Linked DNA regions of Xenopus tropicalis. The protein of the gene in region 1 binds, or shares a complex with, the protein of each later gene. Links are inferred from orthologs where the notes say so. Each region holds a gene or a part of one and is shown in the gene's direction. Other genes may lie near its edges. The genes, in order: robo3 and nell1.

Region 1 (11,696 bases):
GTTTTTACGCAAAAATCGTATTGGTAACGAAAAATTCGTACAGAATCCGAAAAAATCGCAAAACATACGAAAAAGTCGCAAAATGTTCGTTTTCAAGTCGGAACTTTTCCAATTCGGGTCGGATTCGTGGGTTAGTAAATCAGCCCCTAAGAATCAAACTTCAGCTTAAAGTTTGGCACTTATTGCACATATTGTCATGCATTCTTTATTAAAAACAACCGTACTCCCCTCTGAACTGGAGGCCCCCAGAGCTGAAGAACAGATAAGAGATGAATGTGGGTCAAGCACTGGTGGACTCAAAGAAAACTGAACTTTAGTATAATTGGCATGCATGCTATGTTAATAAACTCTTTTATGCCCATCATTTCAGATGTCAGTCCAACGAGACAAGGTGTTGATCATAGGCAAGTGCAGCGCCAACTAGGGGAAGTGGTGGTTCAGCTTCAACAACCGATTATTCTTACATCCTCTACTGTGCAAGTTACATGGACAGTAAGTTGTGTTTAAATATTTAAGTGAATTTCAATACTGTATCATTGCATTTCTTCTACAGCTCAGTAATTAAGATGTGAACCCCTCCTTTTAATTTCTCACACATTTCAAATTTAATTTATCATTTAGACTTAGAAACATCCAGAAGGTTTAATTCAGATTTAAAATACTGTGGGTTGAATTATAAATGATTATGAGTTACTATAGATTGTTATGCATCTTGAATAGCAAGGAGGAATAAGTCAATATGTAATTATATCCAACAAGATTTTTAGTTTCAGATAAATTATATACAATTTATTATGTAGAATTTAATTGAGTTTATTTTATTATGTCTTATTTCTTAACATTAATTGATATTGTGTTGTAGTAGGGAACCAGCAATATTCCTTTGTGTTCTAAAAAAAATATTTTTTTGGTCGCTACTGTTGCTGCTAGAGACAATGTTATTTACCATTATGTTATCATAGCCTTCTCTCCATTACTATGTTATATTTTTTTATTTTTCATTATAAGTGGCACGTTTTTTGCATTTGTATCCCTGATTTTAAAATTACACAAAAGATGTTAATTGATTTTCTGTGCCTGTTAATGTAGAATTCTAAGCAAAAGACATTTTAATGGGATATTTTAAATTAATATAGTAAAATTATATTGGTTGCCGTGGGAAACTGGTACTTCTATCCTTGTTGCTTTTGGCAACCAAGTTTAGCCAATCAGAGAGCAAATGCCAAGGAATAATGTAACATCCCCCCTCTCACATTAAATAAAGAATTAATTGAATTAGATACTGTATCTAGCTTTTTTCTGAGCCCCACAAAAATGTAGCTTCTGATTACCAATACCCCTCAAAAGTATGTGTTTGAGTAGTAATTAATCTTCGATAATACAATTATACATTGCTGTCTATATATATATCAAACTCAACAGTAGAAAGCACTCACAGCTACAGCATCAATCAGGTCAGTGATTTATTTCAGCATACCATCATATATAGTATGCTGACTATATATATATATATATATAGTAAATGATAATGAGTAGCTCCTACATTGCAGAATAAACGAATTATAAGCCTATAAAATCTTCATCCACTCTCTGACATTTAATCGCTTCTCATTTTGGTTGTCAGAATGGTCTTTAACATTTCCCGCTTAATTTAGAGAACATTAGTTAAAATGCTTTAATTTACAATGGTTTGTAACCACTTACAATGTTTTAATTGAAATTAGCCAAATTCTAGTTAATTATTGCTCCATCTAATACTGACCTTTCCCTTGAAATTATTCATGTTATAAGAAAATCAGATAAGCTAGGAGATTTGTAGCATTTATATTAATCTTGCTTTGGATTTATTATTCTCTGTCAGAGGGGAACCATTCTTTTTAATGCCCTCTAGAAATAAGTAAGGGGTCCTACCTGAGTTAAGCTGGTTGATTTCTGGTTTGGAAACACAAAATTTTGGTTGTATTGCAGCTTCAATTAACTTCTCTACCTCTTTTAGGCTGGTAGTATAGCCTAGGGCAATGGGAAGCTCTATGTTATTATCAACACAAATGGCAAAAAAAGAAATGTATCTGTCCATATATTTTTTGTAATTACATGTGGTCTCCTCTTTCAGGTGGATCGGCAAGCTCAGTTCATCCAAGGTTACCGGGTGATGTATCGTCCAAAATCTAGTGTTTGGCTTGTACAGGATGTGAAGTCTCCCTCTGAACGGAATACTATCCTTGTGGACCTCAAAAAAGGCACAGAATATGAAATCAAGATCCGTCCTTATTTTGATGAATTTCAAGGCATGGACAGTGATGTGCTTTTGATCCGTACACCTGAAGAAGGTAAAATGCCTAGCAAGGAATATTAATACAAAATGTATATGTGTGTATATAAAATGTAGAAATGTACAATGACTCCTTGACTCTTTTTCCTTTGATCATTAATAAAGAGTCAAATGGGAATGTAAAAGCCTTGCTCAGTGAAAACATTTGTATTTCCATATAAGAAAATTTGCTACTTTACCTGATAATTATGAGATGAGGCCTTCAAAACTAATATGCTGGCAATTAGTGGATGGTAGACATTCTGTTACTGGAATTTTGTGAAATATATGTGCATTTAGCAATTAAGTGTTGTGGAATATTACAAAGGGCTTGCTTTTATAGAAACCATTATTCATGAGGCATGCAGTTTTATAAAGCCACAAAGAATGCAGGAGAGGATGTAGTCTGTATAATCCATTCTTAAGTAACAAGCAGCCTGGCGAATGTGTCAAAGATTACAATGAAACGACTTGATGGTTGGAAAGATTATGCTGCTGAGAGACTGTAGGAAGAAGGCAAGATAAAACATTTTACCTTTAGGAATAGAACTTGTCACTGCAATATATAAAATTTATATTGTTTACTTTTAATCAGATGTTAAATTACCTGAGCCAGCATAATATTTCCTTTCTCTATACTTCCTATACACTGTTTTTATCTTTTGATGATTTTGAGTCAGTTGAATGTCACATTGCTGCACATCAAAACACAGATTTACCTGAATTCTCTTTTTCTGTAAAATAAATTAAATCCTTCTTACTACTATGTCAGAAATCTTGCCTGTATAAAAAATCAGATTATTGCATTTGGGCTGTCAAAATTACAAAGCAATGAAATATCAGTAAAGTAAGTTCTTCAAAAAAAAATAAATAAAAAAAATTGCCCCTTTTCCAATCACAAGAAGAAGCCAGGTTTACACAGAGTAGCCAGGACAGTCTGAAGAGAACCTGTTACTTTTATGAGCAAGGGAAAGTCTAACTGAACAATTTTGCATTAAGAATCCATCCAAGATGTAGCTGGGCTGTAACCTCTTGGATAACATTTTAATGTGAGTAGTTAACCTTTGCACACCTTTTGATGAAGTATCCAACTTTTAAATGTTAATAAAGTTTGCACACTGTATTATAAAAACATTGTAATTCAACTATGATTTTTTTCAGTGAGCATAAAATATTTATCAGCATAGAATATAAAAATAAATATAAAAAAACAGGTTGTAAACAGGTCAATCTAGTTAATCCAAGCTGTGTATTTTTAGTGCAACATGCAAAGTTGAAAGAACAGGCTTAATATATAACAAGAATGTAAGAACAGAATCTGTGTGTTAATTTACATTTCTTTTCAGAGATATGTGGTTAGTGCCAACATTCTTTCTATGAATATATTTGGGGATGCATTTAATGGGGTCCTTCTGCTGCAATTGCCAATGAAAAACACTATATTTGCTCTGTTGTAATGGAAAATCTATAGTAATTGCTTTCAGTTTGACAGGTTTGGGTGAGAAGAATTTCTGAGCTCAATCAGTGAAGCAAAGTGACTTGCTTAAATGTCCCTAGATGATTGAAATTTAGAGCTCTGTATTATTTTCAGATACGATATGACACTTTCCCCATGACTTACACTTGCTTAACTATATCTTAGGTGTCTTTTGTGCCATGCACCTTTGCAATTACATATGAAAGGCATAAATATCCAATATAGTCCCTTACATCCACTGTGATGTAATTAGTCCTACCCTGTATTGATACACACATATATATATATATATACAGCCACATTGCGATCCGCACTCCGAACTCTCCATTAATTTCTCTGTAATTATTGCCCGGGTGCAACCAGGGAAATATTACACAATTCGAGACACATCGTAGGCGCACTCCAGGGTCTTTTTCATTAAAGTTCAGTCTTTATTTTCACATTGCCATCCGATCAACGTTTTGGCTCTGGCCTAGAGCCTTTCTTAAGATTCAAATTTTTAAAAATGATAAAACATTACCTCGTATTTGATCCCAACTAAGATATAATTACTCCTTCTTGGGGGCAAAATCCTATTGTGTTTATTTAATGTTAAAATTATTTTTATTGACTTATAGTATGGAGATCTAAATTACAGAAAAACCCCAGGTCCTGAGCATTCTGGATAATAGGTCTCATACCTGTATATATACACTAATATAAGTATTAGCATGTATATATTCTAGTATATAAAAATTCTTGGAAAGGTTCACTGCAGTATCTTTCAATAGGCCTATATGTCAGCATAATTAGACTCAAGCCTTGTATCAGAAATGTTTAGTTCTAATAAGCTTTAAACATATATTTATGAATGTTGGAAGTGCTTATTTTATAAAACAATTAGTATGTCAATTTAAGTGATAGTATACATAGGATACAATGGCATCATTTCATACTTGCACTACAAAAACAAAAGCTTTTTTACGAGACCCACTGTGTGACATAGCTCTTAATAAACATTTATAACAGTGCTTCTTTTACTTTGCCTTGAATGAACAAATCAAGATATTTCTCTGCATATATTACACAGTACTTGTATATTGCTTTTCCTTTATTAATTAACATGTTTTGTTGATTTTCAAACAGTGCCAAGTGCCCCGCCTCAAGCAGTATCAGTTGTTACATTAGGAACGAATAACAGCACAAATATTAGTATATCGTGGGAACCTCCTATAGTGGAACATCAAAATGGAATTATTCAAGATTATCGGGTAAAATAATTTAAAATTTTTACAAGCTTAAAGTTTTGGACAGGGCTGTGGAGATAGTAGATAAATTCTCCGACTCTGACTCCTCAGTTTCTGATACTTCCGACTCCACGACTCCGACTCCTCTGTTTTTAATATGCTAATGTATTTAGTGAAGCATACAGTCAATGCTTCATGGTCACTCAATGTGTTCGTTTATGCACTGCGTGCATTGGGCTTTATTCTTATAGCAGAGAAGTAATTAATTATGACTGTTTGTGAATTGGGACATTTAAACTTGCTTTTTTTTTTTATTCCCATTTAAATTTAGTAGGAGTCGGAGTCGGTTCATTTTTTGCCGACTCCAGGTACCAAAAATTGCCCTCGACTCCGACTCCACAGCCCTGGTTTTGGACATTGATTTAATGCTTCCAATAATTTAATTGTAGGAGAGTTTATTGTTTTATTGTCTTATAATGTTGATTGAAAAATGTTGATTCTGCCTGCTTGGAATATATTCTCAGTTTCTAGAGACACCCGCCTCTAAAAGTAAAATGTTTATATGATGTCTTCAAATTGTGTTAGACTAGTAAAGGTTTTATTCATGGTGGTCCGGATGTCAAACTGTATTCAAATGACTGAATAATATAAATGATGGTAATCAAATAAATACAGCATATGCTTTTAATATACTAACTCTAATATGTTGTGCATTTAAACAGTTTATGTCAGAGAGTGAAATTGTTTAAATGCAATAGTAGCTAATATTAATCAATATTAATCTTATTTTTTTCATCTTAAGATTTGGGTCTTGGGAAATGAAACACGCTATCATATCAACAGAACAGTAGATGGTACTGTCCACTCCACTGTAATAAGAGGCCTTAGTCCTGGAGTTCTTTACCATGTGGAAGTGGCTGCTGCAACAAGTGCTGGTTTTGGTGTAAAAAGCCAACCAATCACCATCCAGATAAGTGAGTGAGAACAAACAGATTTGCTTTTTTTCATTTGGAATGTATAGACAGCATTCATATTTTCATTTAAATGTAATTTAACTTAATGGTAACTCATGTTGTAAAACCAAAATTAACTCATTTGTAGCTTTATCAAAGAAATATTAAGTGATTAAATACAGATGAAAATATTAATAGCACACTTGCTAACAAGATAAATATAGAAATGTCTAATTAATGTCCCATAGTTTATTTGCAAGCATATTTATCAAACATTTTCACCCTATTTCAGAGCCTTCTTCAGATCAAGTTCCAGTTGCCAGTGGAGAAAATGTCAGCTTGACTGAACAAATCACAGATGTTGTTAAACAGCCTGCATTCATAGCTGGCATTGGAGGGGCATGCTGGGTAATTCTAATGTGCTTTAGTGTCTGGATCTACTGCCGAAGGAAGAAGAGGAAAGAACTGAGCCATTATACTGGTAAGAAAAAAAATACCTTCAACAAACACAAACACCTTCCTTTGGAAAGCCTATTTGGAAAGGTCTTTTAATGCTGTATTCCATCAAAGCTAAATTTTTTTAAATTAAATATATATATTTTATATATATATATTTATTTATATTTACCATAAATTTATCAAGGCACATTTTGGTGGGTGACATAACTTGGGAGTCGACAGTACATACTTCAATAATATCTACACAATAAACTCTTTCCGTCCCACCCATTGCTTCATAGTACCCCACCTTCTCCATAAGGGTATTGCTTCTCCTCTTGTCCATCCACCTACACCACAATGCTTCTCCTCAACTCCTTTTTCAATACTGCTGTTGTCCCAGCATACCCCATTGCACACAAAAAAAAACAGAGCATAACTTAATGTAAGTATAAACTACACAGTTTCTGCTTAGTGGGATTTATAATTATAAAAAAACTGTCATATAAGTAAAAATGTATTGAAATTAAAATTTCTACAGAAAATACATATACTTATGGAGACAATATTTAATCTCCAGTTGATACCTCCTTATTCAAATATTTAAAGAAGTGATTGTATTTGAACTTTAATAAGTATACTATTTTAGAGAAATCCTAAAGAATTAAAATAAGCACAGCTTTATAAATTACAGAAAATATTTTGCTTTTATATTTTAGTAGGGGGCATGGCTAATTGTATGAACCCTTTTAAAATGTAATTTTATAACTAACATTTTTTTTTGTATTTTAATTTTTAGCTTCCTTTGCATACACACCAGCAGGTAATATTTTAATTTCAGCTACTTATTAGATGGAAGTTAATTTTTAATAATGTTACAAAAGTAACCTTTGATTTTTTTTTGTTCCTTTTCTCAGTATCTTTTCCAGAAAGCTCAGGGCATATTACTGCAAGGTAAGAGGAACATATTAAGCTGTTTGCTCAGGCCTTAAAACATTATTCATAGGTGCCCCTGTTGAAGGGAAGATCAAAGATTTTCAGCACTTGTTACAGAACTGTGCATCCCAGCATTCCTTTAACAGCTCCACATATTCATTATTATATAGTATATAGAGCATGTGGACCATGAAATGTTGCCCCTATATGTCCTGTAGTAAGTTTATACTTTTCTTAATTATGTTTTAGCTACATATCCATATACAGTAACTGAAAGTTGATGAGCACATGATGCTCATTCCACATGGAATGGTAGCTTCTTTAACAGCACTTACTGTTCCACCCATTACTTTTTTAAGAAAGATTTGCATTGCTTGAGTTTTGTACCAGAATAATATTGAAAATCTGGGTTAACAATTAGGTCTCGAGCTTTAAGTAATATTAATGTGACTTGTTTCATTTCCCATACAGACCAGGAATGCTAGCTACAAGTGCATCCAACTACCCTTGGCTAGCAGATTCATGGCCAGCAACCAACTTACTACGAAACGGAAAGCCAAAAGAACCTGCAGGGAATTGTTGTCCAGGAAATCACAATCCTTCAGAGAGATATTATAATGGTAAAGCGATACATTTTTATGCACCTCATTACTTCCTGATAGGAACAAAGTTATTCATCCAGTTACAGAGTTTAGGTGTGGAGCAAATCTTTCATAATATAAATATTTTACTTTCTTTAAGAAATTATTCTTTGAAACAAGAAGCTCTGCAGAATATATTTAGTTTTAACTATGTAAAGTCCATTTGGGATTGATCTTGTCCTCAATCCAAAGTTGCTGCTTAGGACACCTCTAAAATCACAATTGTCTATTTAACAATGTATTTATTATAAAAGTTTAGTATCCAAATATTTTGTAAAAGTATTTTAAGAAATAATCTGTGTATTACTAGTTTTCCATGTTAATGCTTGTGTTGTGGATTTGGTTTGAATAGATGCTGGCATTTCAAACTATATTGCTCAGACTGAGAAGTTCGGAACAGGTGTTTCAGATGGTCCCATATACAGTACAATTGATCCAACCACTGATGACATGCGAACTTTTAATGGAGCTTTCTCTCAGCATACTACACCTTATGCAACAACACCTGTTGTACCGTATGGAGGACAAAACATGCATTCTCCTGAATTAGAAGAGAACCAGTGGAATGTACAGGCTGGAACATCTGGTGTACTTTATGCACAACCAGATCGAACTAAAGCAGAGAATGGTACTTACATTTTATTTGTAAACCTTTATATAAAACAGTTAAAAACAGTCATTAATTTTCCTTAGGTATGTTGATTGCATCTCGTTAGAGTGAATAGGACTTTTAAAAGATATTATTTTTAAATAAAATACAAATTACTTTATGTTATAATTGCATTCCTAAAGTTATGTTTCTTTGCTTTAAATTATGAAATGTATCAGATATTTAGCTAGCATCAGGCCCAACATAATATTTCATCGTTATATAGCTATATGCATGTTGGCCTTTTCAGGTCCCAAATCTGGAAAGCAGAAGGCCATTGGAAAACCAGTAAAAACACCATCACTAAATTGGACAGAAATTCTTCCACCACCCCCGCCTGCCAATGAGCTGAGTCAATACCAAGAAGAAGATACAGATGTAGAGATGAGGTATGGATGACCATGAGTAATCCAGTTAGTATCTGGAAATCTGAACTGTTGTCATGCAAGTCATACTTTTTGTTGACATATTGTATGGTTATTTATTAGACACATTAATGTTCTCTCAAGCATTACATATTTATTGATAACTTTTCCAGCAAGCACATTGCTAAGGCAGGTGGATCTTTCACTTGGACCCTTCCTTTACATTGCTGTCCTTCGCTGTCAATGTATAGCTGTCCTTCACTTGCAGTGTATAGCTGTGTATAGAAGAATTTTAAGTATTAAAGAAGGGCCAGCTATGATGCAAGCTGCTATAAGTAAATATTTAAATAATTTAATTCCAAAGCTGTAGCATTGTTACTGCTGGTGTCCTGTGCATCCAAACCATTATTAAACCTTTATTGGTATATTATAGCTCCGACACAGAAGAATGGTGTCCACCATTGCCTGAAAGAACTTACCTCATGGAAAACATTCAAGAAGGCTGCCCACTTCCTCCACCTCGGGGTGAGGCTTCTTCTCCTGCTCATTCTTACGGTCAGCAGTCAACAGCCACTCTAACACCATCTCCCCAGGATGAGATGCATGCTGCAGAAGATATTCCAAGGCTACATCAGTTTGAGATACCCCCTCATCCTAGGTTAGAAAGCTTAGTCTGATTTTATATTTATATATAAACAACTAGAAAACATTTTGCTTTTGCATCACTGATTATTATTCTATGATATAGGTGGGTTAATTAACAGACTTTGTGCAGACATGTTTTTAAAGCTTCGACCAATTCTTGACTATGCTACTTTAGATTTTCACTATTTTACATCCCAATATATAGGATTTGTGTATTGAACCAAATAGTTGCCACAAAAACTGGTGCTATTATGTAAATAGGCACACACTGTGTATAACTGCATTACCCATAGCAAAAATCATAGTAAATAAATGTTACCGCTGTATTTTAAAACTGTAATTACAAAATGGAAAATATATATAATTTTACATGTTGTCCCTGTTTGGTGGCTTCCATTTACAGCTCCAGTTATTCTGGGCATACCCCCAGTTATACCATACATATTAATATAAAAGATGCACAGTCAGTTTATTTAAGGGATAAACATTTAAAGTTTATTGTTTGTGATAGGGCTATAATGTTACATAGGTACACCTAATATTGATTCACTTATTCAATCTTGTTTGTTCAAATTATTAGACGACTGCCATCTGGATCGGTACCAATTCCAAGAGCTCCAAGTCCTCCTCTGACACAATCAAATCCTAGTCTTCATACAGCAACGGAAGGTGCAGAAGCACAACGGCAGGGACACAGGCGGAACTTAAGCCAAAATCCTAATCTAAGTGCTGAAAATGTCAACTTGCCAAACAGCGGTAAGTAGAGACATAAATGTATAAATAATTACATATATACACATCAGTGTAGAGGAGTCATAACTCCTGTGCGCACACATGCTTAGAAGTCCAGGTTTCCCAATCAGCCACCATTTTATGCTCCTGTCAAAGAACAGTTATAAACAAAGGAAGTAAATTAACCCATTTTTACTAACAAACAGTGGTCTTGTGTCCCTCCTTTTTAACTTTTCATTAGAAAAAAACTTGTTGTTTTGAGATAAGTATCTGTCCTTTCACCCTATATTTCTAGGATATCATCCAGTTATCAAGTATATTCTGCAATGTTGTGGTTAAATTTGTGTTTCAGGAACCAATCCTACTTTTCTGCACTTTAGTATATTAATTTTCAGTTTTTTTCCATATATTTAATTCCTTCACCAGCTACACCGGTAGTGTTTATTTGGAAAATGCAGGTCCTTGTGCTCTATTGTGGAGTGAAAGGACTTCGGCATGTAGGCATCATGGCAGGGCATGGTGGCTGGGAATTCTGTGATTAGGATTTTTTTGCCTTTAGTAAGATTATCTTATTGTTACATACTTCAGTAACAAATGCATCAGTCTTCTTTTGATCATATTAGTGGATCATTAAGGATTTTCTTGTAATTCCTTAAAATATTTAGCTGTCTGTTGGGTTCTTTCAGATGCACTAGTGTCTTCCCTCCCCTACCCCCATTTCTGCCTTTTTTATCTGGACTGTTATCCAAATCCTTTTTTTTCTGCCCAAAACAAGTTGTAGTATTGCACTTACGCCTTCATCGTGCTGATAGTTTATTTGTGGTCTTAGTGGATGTGTAAATTAACAAAAGTCTACTTGCCAGGCTACAAAGCCACTTAATACTGTACACAATCATTGCAATTAAAAACTTTGAAATCCAGAGGTTTATTTAAATGTTAAATACTTTTGACGAAGTATATCACATATACTGTGATAATAGATTATTGCAATAGGTAACTCACTGTTTAATAAGTGGTCCTAAAACATATACTTGCCTTTTATTGTTGATTTAATGTTATGTAATGCAAATCCTTTCAGGAAAGTCACAACTAGGAGAAAATATAAGCACACCTCCAGGACAGAAATCGCGAGCAAAGAAGAAGTCAAAATCAGGTCACTATCGCAGGGAAGCAAAACAAGGAGGTTAGTACCATATTGCAGTGAATGTTTGCTTGATACATCTTACAGTGTTTTTGAACCCAAAGTGGCTGCAAATTTTGCAATACACTAAGTACCCTACACAATAAAAAGGCCTAAAAAAATGCATAACATTTAACAATAAT
Region 2 (12,278 bases), on another chromosome or scaffold:
TTGCCTTTATATAACCTGCCTAACTGCTAGTTGACCCAGAGGAAGGCAAAAAACCCCATTTAAAGCCTCTCTAATTTGCCGCAGAGGGGTAAAATTCCTTCCTGACCCCAAGATGGCAATCGGACCAGAACCTGGGGCAACTTGTACTAAGTACTAAGCACAGTTCAGCAGGAACAGCCCCCTAAGTTTGCCCATAGCCTGTACAGAGAGATACCATAAAACTATGGCACATAGGGATTCCCCTGTACTAAGCACAATTCAGCAGGAACAGCCCCCTAAGTTTGCTCATAGCCTGTACAGAGAGATACCATAAAACTATGGCACATAGGGATTCCCCTGTACTAAGCACAATTCAGCAGGAACAGCCCCCTAAGTTTGCTCATAGCCTGTACAGAGAGATACCATAAAACTATGGCACATAGGGATTCCCCTGTACTAAGCACAATTCAGCAGGAACAGCCCCCTAAGTTTGCTCATAGCCTGTACAGAGAGATACCATAAAACTATGGCACATAGGGATTCCCCTGTACTAAGCACAATTCAGCAGGAACAGCCCCCTAAGTTTGCTCATAGCCTGTACAGAGAGATACCATAAAACTATGGCACATAGGGATTCCCCTGTACTAAGCAAAGGAACATTTTAGACACAGAGAACTTTTATTACCCTCAGGGTGATATCTAGCCCTAAATCTGGCACGACACCAATGGTTTCGGGTAAATTCTCAGGAGGCGGCTGATGTAAGAGGCAGAAATAGAGGAATGGAGTGAAGTTGTACTTGGCCGTATATAATGGTTTCTGGGGAACTTAGAAAGAAAACCTGTCACGTCTCCATATGAGCCCGGCACAATGTACATCGCTGCAGGACATGTTCATAAATAAAAGATTGGAAGAGCGCGGGGAGCAAACAGAGGCCTCTCAGGGCACCTATCAGCGAGCGGCGCCGGTGATGTCAATACACTAATAAAATAATTACTAAATATGGGCAGAATGAATCTGTTGTCTTGGAGATGGGCTCTTTCTTCTTTGCAGATAAAATCTCCTTGTCATTGTCCTGATGTCGGGAAAGGCTTCTCCCGAGCTCGAGAAAACCAGAGAAGTCTCCTTAGGAAAAGATCGTCCTTTGTGCCTCCCGTGACATGTGTCTACTAAACGGAAAAACCAAGGGATGGGGGAAAGGATGGATAGCTGGCAGGCGCTGGGCCACTAGGGGGCGCCGGATGCTTTGGAATTTCAGAAAGAGCTTTCGCTTTTTTCACCAGACTAAGCAATATGGTAACCCCCATTTATTGATACATACACATAATTAAACATATTGCCCTTTTATTGTTTTGCAGGTTTGTAATTGCATATCACACAGAGCCAAGGGATGACCCCCCCATAGTTTGTCTAATTACATAGTAACGTAGTAAGTTAGGCTGAAAAATGACATGCGTCAAGTTCAACCTTAATGGACATAAACTAATATATGTACATAAACAAAGCACTTTGCTAGGGAATCCTGTACTGAATATTAATTCAACTCCGAGCTGTCTCTAGTCAGATGCACACAGAGGCATTAGCCCCGGGCTCTGCAGATAAAGGCAAAGAGAAGTAGTTGCCAGTAGGATAACTGGAGAACAAAGAGTATAGTAAGTAGGGCAACATGGAAACAGCATGGTAACATGGGGAGAGAAGGACAAGTTGGAGAAAGTAAGGTGAGATGTGACAATAAGAGCAAGATGGAGACTGTAGAACAACTTGGAGATAGTAGGGCAAGATGGAGACAGTAGGGAAACATGGTGACAGTAGGACAAGATGGAGACATCAGAGCAAGATGGAGACAGTAGGGCAAGATGGAGACAGTAGGGCAAGATGGAGACAGTAGGGCAAGATGGAGACAGTAGGGCAAGATGGAGACAGTAGGGCAAGATGGGGACATCAGAGCAAGATGGAGACAGTAGGACTAGATGGAGACAGTAGGGAAACATGGTGACAGTAGGGAAAGATTGGGACAGTAAGAAACAATAGGGATAGTAGGACATGATGGAAACAGAAAAGCAAGATGGAGACAGTAGGGCAAGATGGAGACAGTAGGACAAGATGGGGACAGTAGGACAAGATGGAGACAGTAGGACAAGATGGAGACATCAGAGCAAGATGGAGACAGTAGGACTAGATGGAGACAGTAGGGAAACATGGTGACAGTAGGGAAAGATTGGGACAGTAAGAAACAATAGGGATAGTAGGACATGATGGAAACAGAAAAGCAAGATGGAGACAGTAGGGCAAGATGGAGACAGTAGGACAAGATGGGGACAGTAGGACAAGATGGAGACAGTAGGACAAGATGGGGACAGTAGGGCAAGATGGAGACAGTAGGACAAGATGGGGACAGTAGGGCAAGATGGAGACAGTAGGAAAAGATGGGGACAGTAGGGCAAGATGGAGACACTAGGACAAGATGGAGACAGTAAGACAAGATGGAGACAGTAGGGCAAGATGGAGACAGTAGGACAAGATGGGGACAGTAGGGCAAGATGGAGACAGTAGGACAAGATGGAGACAGTAGGACAAGATGGGGACAGTAGGGCAAGATGGAGACAGTAGGACAAGATGGGGACAGTAGGACAAGATGGAGACAGTAGGAGAAGATGGGGACAGTAGGGCAAGATGGAGACAGTAGGACAAGATGGAGACAGTAGGACTAGATGGAGACAGTAGGAGAAGATGGGGACAGTAGGACAAGATGGAGACAGTAGGAGAAGATGGGGACAGTAGGACAAGATGGAGACAGTAGGAGAAGATGGGGACAGTAGGACAAGATGGAGACAGTAGGACAAGATGGAGACAGTAGGACAAGATGGAGACAGTAGGACAAGATGGAGACAGTAGGGCAAGATGGAGACAGTAGGACAAGATGGAGACAGTAGGAGAAGATGGAGACAGTAGGACAAGATGGAGACAGTAGGAGAAGATGGAGACAGTAGGAAAAGATGGAGACAGTAGGAAAAGATGGGGACAGTAGGACCAGTAGGACAAGATGGGGACAATAGACATGGTGGAAGTACAATTTGAAGACAAAAGGGCAAAATGAAGGCAGTAGGGAACGATGCCGATAATAAAGCAAGATGGTGTCAGGCCCTTCATTGGTTCTTGAAGTACTCGATTTTCCTATATTAGAAATATTTTCCTACAGAACTGTCTCTTCCCAGTGTTACTGAATCTACTGGATCCCCATTTGTATTGGTAACTTTCCATTTTTACCCTCTGTTGTTGGGCCCAAATGTATTTGGGACACAAAGGGACTAAAACTTCCTCTACAAGTAAATATTCAACAGTTTTGCAAGAAACATCCATCTGTGTCTGTTCCTTCAATCCCCCCAGTTTGTCTTACGAGACTATGAAAAGGGCAACATTATCCAATTTTATTATCAACCCCACTAGTGCGACCCCGACGGTGGTTTGAAAGAAGCGCTGATTGCACTTTCCCAGCAATTGCTCTGCAATCAAACCTCTCCCGGAGCGGCGACAACTTCTCATTTCAGCAACAATTGCTGCCCTAGGGGCCGAGTGAGAGAAAGGAGCCACGTTCAGCCCACAGCCCCCCAGGGCGGCGTCCTACCCCCCCATCTGTATATTTGTATTTATACATATGGGTTGGAGGTGCCATAGTGTTTCCCTTAGACAGTACAGTATGGGGGTACAGCTTATTGTGTGCCCAGAACATTCCTTCTCTGTATATTTGTATTTATACATATGGGTAGGGGGTGCCATAGTGTTTCCCTTAGACAGTACAGTATGGGGGTACAGCTTATTGTGTGCCCAGAACATTCCTTCTCTGTATATTTGTATTTATACATATGGGTAGGAGGTGCCATAGTGTTTCCCTTAGACAGTACAGTATGGGGGTACAGCTTATTGTGTGCCCAGAACATTCCTTCTCTGTATATTTGTATTTATACATATGGGTAGGAGGTGCCATAGTGTTTCCCTTAGACAGTACAGTATGGGGGTACAGCTTATTGTGTGCCCAGAACATTCCTTCTCTGTATATTTGTATTTATACATACGGGTAGGGGGTGCCATAGTGTTTCCCTTAGACAGTACAGTATGGGGGTACAGCTTATTGTGTGCCCAGAACATTCCTTCTCTGTATATTTGTATTTATACATATGGGTAGGGGGTGCCATAGTGTTTCCCTTAGACAGTACAGTATGGGGGTACAGCTTATTGTGTGCCCAGAACATTCCTTCTCTGTATATTTGTATTTATACATATGGGTAGGGGGTGCCATAGTGTTTCCCTTAGACAGTACAGTATGGGGGTACAGCTTATTGTGTGCCCAGAACATTCCTTCTCTGTATATTTGTATTTATACATATGGGTAGGGGGTGCCATAGTGTTTCCCTTAGACAGTACAGTATGGGGGTACAGCTTATTGTGTGCCCAGAACATTCCTTTACTGCAGGCCGGCACTGGGATTTAAAAAAAGCTTTTTTTGGCATTTGCCAGAACCCACAGATTGCCAGTCCGGGCCTGCTTCATTGGATCTCTTTCATAATATTGTCGCCCCCCCAGTCATATTTATCTCATCCTGACTCTTGGCTCCGCCCCTCTCTTCTTATCATTGCTTTAGATATTAGGGTGTAACACTGTCCCTATTGTTTAGCTGGTGGTTCTGAGGGTACAGACTGTATCCTGGGCCTGAGCCCGGAGCTGTCCATTCAGCACCATTCATTAACTGCCACTTATTAACTGCCACTCATTACCTGCCACTCATTAACTGCCTCCTGTGGGTCTATTGCTTTGTAGAGTAAAAAAAAAAAGTGGGATTTTGTTAAATAAAATGAGACTTTTTGTAGGATCATGTGAAACGTTAGAGGCTTAAACTGGATCTTGGCACATTGTGTTTAACCTCATCCTGCCCTGGGCCCTGTCTCCCCCCTCAGTCTCTCACTGTCACCCCAATTCAGTGCCAACCTATAAACACTTTAGGAACCCTGTCTCTCATATTAACCCCTCAGGTATCCCATAGCCATAATGACCCCAAGTCCTTAACCCTTCTCTGCCCAGAGTACTCCCCTTGCCCATTATGTGGCACCAGTTTAACTCTTGCCTGCCCTGGTGGCTCACCCTACACATTGTGTGACTGATTAACCCCTGTCTGCCCAGAGTACTCAACTTGCAAACTGTCTGACTGATTAACCCCTTTGTGCCCTGAGTATTCACCTTTCACATTGTGTAACAACTTAACTCTTGCCTGCCCTGGCTACTCCCCATAGTCTGACTGTTTAACCCCCCCCCCATCTGTGCTGAGTACTCACTCTGCCCTTTTTGTACTGCTTTTAACCCCTGCCTCCCCTCAGTACTCACCTGGCACAATGTCTGACTGATTAACCCCTGCCTCCCCTCAGTACTCACCTGGCACAATGTCTGACTGATTAACCCCTGCCTCCCCTCAGTACTCACCTGGCACAATGTCTGCCTCCCCTCAGTACTCACCTGGCACAATGTCTGCCTCCCCTCAGTACTCACCTGGCACAATGTCTGCCTCCCCTCAGTACTCACCTGGCACAATGTCTGCCTCCCCTCAGTACTCACCTGGCACAATGTCTGACTGATTAACCCTTGCCTGCCCTGAGCGCTCAGCCCGCACATTTCTTAATGTTAAACATCAGTAGGAGTTTGGAGCTTGGGGCTAAACCATTCCTGCCGGGCAGGGGGGTGATGGATGCAGAAACGGTCCGTCTGTAATAAATCCTTCCCTTTCACCTCACAGTCGCTAAGGAATCGGGGGGCCATACGGCAGGGAGCTTGTATGTAGAACTGGGTGTTTCCATCGCTGGGGAAGGGACTGTGCGATTGGCTTCGGTCTGGCTGAGCCCCCCCCGCTGCACTGGAGTGGTACGGTCGGCAGACTCTCCCAGCCGGGGAAGCTGTCCGTGTGTCAGTGAGGCTTGTGCGGGGGAACCGGGAAGTTTAGCGGCTGCCGGGGGATTATTGGGGCTCCTTCTCCGCTCACTGCGCCAATGGATGGAATGCTGGCTGTGTGGGCTTGGGTACTGACTGCCAGAGCAGGTAAGGGGCAGGGGTCGGGGGCCTCTGGGGGGACACATGGGGTCGGCGGCTCCGGTTGAGGGTACAGACTGGCACAGGGTGTAACTATAGGTGGGGGTATAACAGCGAGTGATGCTATAGCGGAGGGCAATGGGTAGTGCGGTTGCTGGGTATTGGGGAGTGGGTATTTGGGGGTACAGCAGATGGCAGTGGGTGATGTAGTAGGGTTGATGGGTATAGGGGAGTGGGTATTTGGGGGTACAGCAGATGTAGTAGGGTTGATGGGTGCTATGGCTGTGGGCATTTGGGGGTACAGCAGATGTAGTAGGGTTGATGGGTGCTATGGCTGTGGGCATTTGGGGGTACAGCAGATGTAGTAGGGTTGATGGGTGCTATGGCTGTGGGCATTTGGGGGTACAGCAGATGTAGTTGGGTTGATGGGTGCTATGGCTGTGGGCATTTGGGGGTACAGCAGATGTAGTAGGGTTGATGGGTGCCATGGCTGTGGGCATTTGGGGGTACAGCAGATGTAGTAGGGTTGATGGGTGCTATGGCTGTGGGCATTTGGGGGTACAGCAGATGTAGTAGGGTTGATGGGTGCTATGGCTCTGGGCAGTGTTGGGCTACACAATTGGGCGATGGGCTGTGACTGAGGGCAGGTAGGGGGCTGGAAGGCGCAGCAGGGAGTTATCGGTGGGATTGGGAGGTGGGTGCTGTAATATGGATTGAGATCCGCACATTGGGGAGTTATGGGTGCTATAGCAGGGGCAATGGGGGGGGGGGGGGTACAGAAGGGTATTTTGTGATGAATTGTTCTATCAGTGCTTGAATGGGAGGTATCTGTGTGTTATATCAGCATTTATTGGGTGATTGGGGGTTTAATTGCTCTAATACTGTTTATTGGCTACATAGTGTTCTGGGGGCAGTGGAGGGAACCGGAACTGTGTATGATTGGGGGGTTTAGTACAGTAACTGGGGTGGCACATGGGGCTAACTGGGCTAACTGTTGGTGGCTAGGTGGTACCTGGGGGTTAATTGTTATGTCAATATGTCTTTAGGTGGTATTGAGATTAACAATCAGATTTGGGTGGTATTGTGGGTTATTTTGTGGCAATGTGTAATTATGTGGTGGTTTGAGGCTGGTTGTTCTGTCACTGAGTGATTAGCTGGCGTTGGGGGGGCTACTCGCTGTAGCAATGTGTGATTAAGTGTTATCCCGGGGTGACAGAATGTGCAGGGGCTGTAGAACAATGTGGGATTATTTGTGGGTGCAGGGTGGCACAGGGTAAGGGGACACAGATGCAACACCAAGCTGTACTGGGTGGCACAGGGTAAGGGGACACAGATGCAACACCAAGCTGTACTGGGTGGCACAGGGTAAGGGGACACAGATGCAACACCAAGCTGTACTGGGTGGCACTGTGCGTGGCACCACACTGGGAGACAGAGGCGGGCGAGTAAATATTGCCGGGATCCTGGCACAGCTGTTGATTGCATTCAAGTGAGCATGGAAAGTGTTGCCGCTTGGCACAGGGGGAATATATGTAGAATAGGGCTGGCACTGTGTATGGGGTATTATAGCTCCGGCTGAGGGCTCAGTGGGCACCGACAGTGCCAGTGGGTACAGACAAGCCCAGCCTCGCTTTGTTAATAAACAAGACCCTGGGTCTGATCTCTCCCAGTGCCAGCTGTACGGACTATTAGCACTTACTAATTGCCCCCCATTCTCAGCCCAAGCCCGCCAGATCCCTAACACTGCAATGAAAGGTGCCCAGGTCTCTCCATCTGTAATATATTCCACCCAGAGCCTGTCACTCAGCAGAGCGGTGTAATGAGGCACTGCAGGGGCAGCCTGCCCGCCACATGCCCATAATCTTTACTGGGATTCTGCTGAAATGTCACTGGCGCTGTGATAGGGCAGCTTCCTAGCAAATGGTATCCGGGGTCTACTGGGCTTTACCTGGGGGTGAATGGGGTTAACTTGGGGCCAGGTGGCTCCATACATGGACAATGTCTAGAGAAGAAATATTTGGGTCTCTACAGGGAGACTTGGCATCAGGACCATTCCGACCCGGCAGCCTAGATCTGCTTGGACTACAGAACATCTCCACATCAGGACCAGTCAGCCCTGGAGAGGACACTGGGGGTGACTGGGCTACTGGGGGACTTAGGACCAGGCCATTCTTACCTGCAGATTGTGCCAGAAGACTCACTATTGGGGACCTTTCTTTGCTGGGACCACAGTGTGGTTTTGGGGTGCATATTGGACCAAATGATTCATTATTGGGAACTTTCTCCCCTGTATGTGGGTATATGTGACATTGGAGTGTCGGGGGTGCTGATCGGAGCAGATGTTTCAATACTGGGGCCATTCTGACCCGGATATTTGTAGATAGAGACCTAGATACTCGGACCGGGTGATTCGGTATTGGGACCTTTCCCACTTGGGTGTCTAGGGGCAAGAGGGGGGCATTTTGATGTCTGAACTGCAAGTTAGGTCTGAATCAGAACCATTCTAAACTGGCGCTCTGCAGAGGAATCATGTTATCGAATGGGTCAGATGATTTATTAATTGGGTCCGTCCTTACATGGAAATCTGGGGAGAGATTAGTGGGGTTTCTGCATTGCAGACAGTAGTAAGTCCAGCCTGTGTTTGTAGAAGAAATATTGGGGTGACTATGGAAAGGGAAGACAGTTCAGGAATCTTGGGGTGCTCAGGCTACACCCCAATGTGTATGGAACCCTATATTACCCTACAGCTTGCATGTCGCCTATGGAGCTCATTAAATAACAGGGACATCAGGGTTCACTTTCCCGGCGCAGTAGAATTCCATTGTATTGGGGGGAATAAAAACTGTTGTTTTATACATGACATTCTCTTCGCTGCTTTTTCTCGGAATATAATCGTTTGCTGAACTTCTGCGGCTGAGGGAACTTTCCTCCTGGCGCAGCAGCCAAGGGGTTAATGTTGGCTAAGCGGATTACAAACAAACCCCCCCCCCAAGCCCCCTAGTCGTACAGCCTGCCTGTCAAAAGGAATTGCAACTTGCTAACCAGATTTGCTGAAATAACAGCATTAATCGCATCTATCTGTGGGTGGCCTCCTTGTATCGCTATTTCCCTTTATCCCAGACATTTTCCCTTTATACTTATATATATATATATATTTATATATTGTGAGGCTTCAGGAACTGGCGCTTTCTTTCCTTCTCTGCATGAAAGAGTGTGAGCCTTGTCGCCGGCCGCTGCCCGTCCCTGGGATTCCATGAAGGGGTTAAAAGGTGGCAATTTTTTTTATTTTTACCCCCTGCTTGAGAGCTAAGGAGGTGGGTGCTGCCAGACAGCCGCAGGCCTCGTTTTCTTCCCCAGTCTTTGAGGCTATCATGCTCGGCCGACTCCCACCCTCCATAGAATCCCCCCTTCCCCAGCAATTTTTGTGATTAGCCACGGAGGGTCCAACAAGGGAGAGTCACTCGCCATTAATATTTAATGCAATTTCACTCTGGGGGCTTGTAGATATATATTCACAGAGCTCGATTAGCAGCGTGACGTGACTGCCGAATTACATCATACGGGGGGTTATCACCGGGGTGAACCCCCATCTGTGTTTGTGATTGCTAAACTGCATCTCCCAGCAAGAGCCAAGAATCAGAGGTTCTTTTAGATTTGCCTCCTACTCTGCCGGTTGCAATGAACAGAGTGATGCCTATTCCACTCATATATATTGATGTGCTAGTTAAATATTTAATATTGGCTTTGTTAGGTACAAACAAATCCACACCTAAAACACATAGCAAATACATTGCCCCCCTACTGTATATTATAAGGATATTAGAAGTCACTGAGGGGTTCTGTGCCCATATAAAGGCACAAGGCTGCAGGCTGAGTTATACAGGGAACTCTGAGTATCACTCATGTATTATAAGGGATACTGTACCCCCTACTGTAAATGATAAGGATATTAGCAGTCACTGAGGGGTTCTGTGCCCCCCATATAAAGGCACAAGGCTGCAGGCTGAGTTATACAGAGAACTCTGAGTATCACTCATGTATTATAAGGGATACTGTACCCCCTACTGTAAATGATAAGGATATTAGCAGTCACTGAGGGGTTCTGTGCCCCCCATATAAAGGCACAAGGCTGCAGGCTGAGTTATACAGGGAACTCTGAGTATCACTCATGTATTATAAGGGATAATGTACCCCCTACTGTAAATGATAAGGATATTAGCAGTCACTGAGGGGTTCTGTGCCCCCCATATAAAGGCACAAGGCTGCAGGCTGAGTTATACAGGGAACTCTGAGTATCACTCATGTATTATAAGGGATAATGTACCCCCTACTGTAAATGATAAGGATATTAGCAGTCACTGAGGGGTTCTGTGCCCCCCATATAAAGGCACAAGGCTGCAGGCTGAGTTATACAGGGAACTCTGAGTATCACTCATGTATTATAAGGGATAATGTACCCCCTACTGTAAATGATAAGGATATTAGCAGTCACTGAGGGGTTCTGTGCCCCCCATATAAAGGCACAAGGCTGCAGGCTGAGTTATACAGGGAACTCTGAGTATCACTCATGTATTATAAGGGATAATGTACCCCCTACTGTAAATGATAAGGATATTAGCAGTCACTGAGGGGTTCTGTGCCCCCCATATAAAGGCACAAGGCTGCAGGCTGAGTTATACAGGGAACTCTGAGTATCACTCATGTATTATAAGGGATAATGTACCCCCTACTGTAAATGATAAGGATATTAGCAGTCACTGAGGGGTTTTGTGCCCCCCATATAAAGGCACAAGGCTGCAGGCTGAGTTATACAGGGAACTCTGAGTATCACTCATGTATTATAAGGGATAATGTACCCCCTACTGTAAATGATAAGGATATTAGCAGTCACTGAGGGGTTCTGTGCCCCCCATATAAAGGCACAAGGCTGCAGGCTGAGTTATACAGGGAACTCTGAGTATCACTCATGTATTATAAGGGATAATGTACCCCCTACTGTAAATGATAAGGATATTAGCAGTCACTGAGGGGTTCTGTGCCCCCCATATAAAGGCACAAGGCTGCAGGCTGAGTTATACAGGGAACTCTGAGTATCACTCATGTATTATAAGGGATAATATAATAAGTTATAATGGTATCGCTAGGTGGGCACCACTGGGTGACAAATACAATTAAGGTTGAAATCTAAATGTAAAATGCAAAAACAAAAAGACAAAAAGGGACATCTCCCCCCAGAATTATCTCTTTGATTATTTCATTTGTGGAGTGAGATTGGTTTGTTGATATTTTCTGGGTCTCATGAATTTTAATGCCCCTGAAATGACATTGTTCCTATTTTCAGGCGTTCGCCCCGTAATCGAGAGCAGCTCTCGAGCGAAACTGTGTCATCCTGCGCGTTACAGGGAAGCGGCGCCTTGTTCATATTTAATGCCGTGCGTCGGCCAAGCAGGAATTCTCCTCTCGGAATATGAATGTTGGCAATCCTTCCGAACCCTTCATCTGACACAGGGATTAATATTCACTATAAATACCTCACTGGGTATATGTGCCGCTTGCAAGCACTTTCATGTAGTGCCAAGGCCTCTTTACTGGTGCGGGGGCCTAGAACCCAGTCAGAACTGTCTAACCAGCTGTCTCTATCATCTCCTGGTGTCTCACTCTTGCTCACCTGGGCCCTTCTTGTCCTGCTGTCTCTGTTGTTTTCCATCTGTCTCCATAATGCCCCAGGGCATCGGTTTTGCCCTATTGTCTTCATTTTACTGAATTGCCCTCTTGCCATACCCTCTTCATTTTGCCTTACTGTCTCAGTCTTATTCTACTGTCCCAATTGCCCTAGGGTTTCATAATGGAAGCCCTGCTGTAACCATCTTGCCCTACTGTCCCACTTGCCCTACTGCCCCACCTGCCCTAGGAATTCATTATAGAAGCCCTGCTGTAACCAACTTGCCCTACTGTCTCAATTTTGCCCTGATGTCTCAATCTTGCCCTACTGTCTCTATCTTGCCCTACTGCCCCACTTGCCCTACTGTCTCCATCTTGTCCTACTGTCTCCTTCTTGTCCTACTGTCTCCATCTTGCCCTACTGTCTCCATCTTGCCCTACTGTCCCACTTGCCCTACTGTCTCAATCTTGCCTTACTGTCTCAATCTTGCCCTACTGTCCCACTTGCCCTACTGTCTCCATCTTGCCCTACTGTCTCCATCTTGCCCTACTGTCTCCATCTTGCCCT

Evidence for each region.
Region 2: the proteins of robo3 (region 1) and nell1 are in contact, whole or in part, in a crystal structure (PDB 6POL), measured with the Homo sapiens proteins. The link is inferred for Xenopus tropicalis from reciprocal best matches to the Homo sapiens genes ROBO3 and NELL1. Residues at the interface, in NP_071765.2 of Homo sapiens: Ser553, Pro555, Val590, Glu592, Phe594, Pro596, Asn600, Thr601, Trp602, Thr604, Ile624, Leu626, Arg630, Gly633, Ala634, Trp635, Gly636, Leu637, Ser638, Glu639, Pro646, Val647, Arg648; in NP_006148.2 of Homo sapiens: Ala440, Lys441, Met442, His443, Tyr444, His446, Tyr458, Arg468, Val469, Asp470, Asp471, Phe472, Ser473, Asp478, Ile492, Cys493, Thr494, Asn495, Thr503, Cys504, Lys505, Pro506.

The regions. Positions count from the first base shown.
Region 1 is NC_030683.2:75,090,704-75,102,399, reverse strand, and holds part of robo3 (roundabout homolog 3), read left to right. Parts: intron 1-370; coding exon 371-492; intron 493-2,113; coding exon 2,114-2,330; intron 2,331-4,913; coding exon 4,914-5,038; intron 5,039-5,816; coding exon 5,817-5,988; intron 5,989-6,259; coding exon 6,260-6,448; intron 6,449-7,204; coding exon 7,205-7,228; intron 7,229-7,322; coding exon 7,323-7,359; intron 7,360-7,812; coding exon 7,813-7,961; intron 7,962-8,334; coding exon 8,335-8,610; intron 8,611-8,881; coding exon 8,882-9,020; intron 9,021-9,429; coding exon 9,430-9,654; intron 9,655-10,221; coding exon 10,222-10,397; intron 10,398-11,451; coding exon 11,452-11,556; intron 11,557-11,696. UniProt on the Homo sapiens protein: Receptor involved in axon guidance during development. Acts as a multifunctional regulator of pathfinding that simultaneously mediates NELL2 repulsion, inhibits SLIT repulsion, and facilitates Netrin-1/NTN1 attraction.
Region 2 is NC_030680.2:4,705,962-4,718,239, forward strand, and holds the start of nell1 (protein kinase C-binding protein NELL1), read left to right. Parts: upstream 1-5,909; 5' UTR 5,910-6,009; coding exon 6,010-6,058; intron 6,059-12,278. UniProt on the Homo sapiens protein: Plays a role in the control of cell growth and differentiation. Promotes osteoblast cell differentiation and terminal mineralization.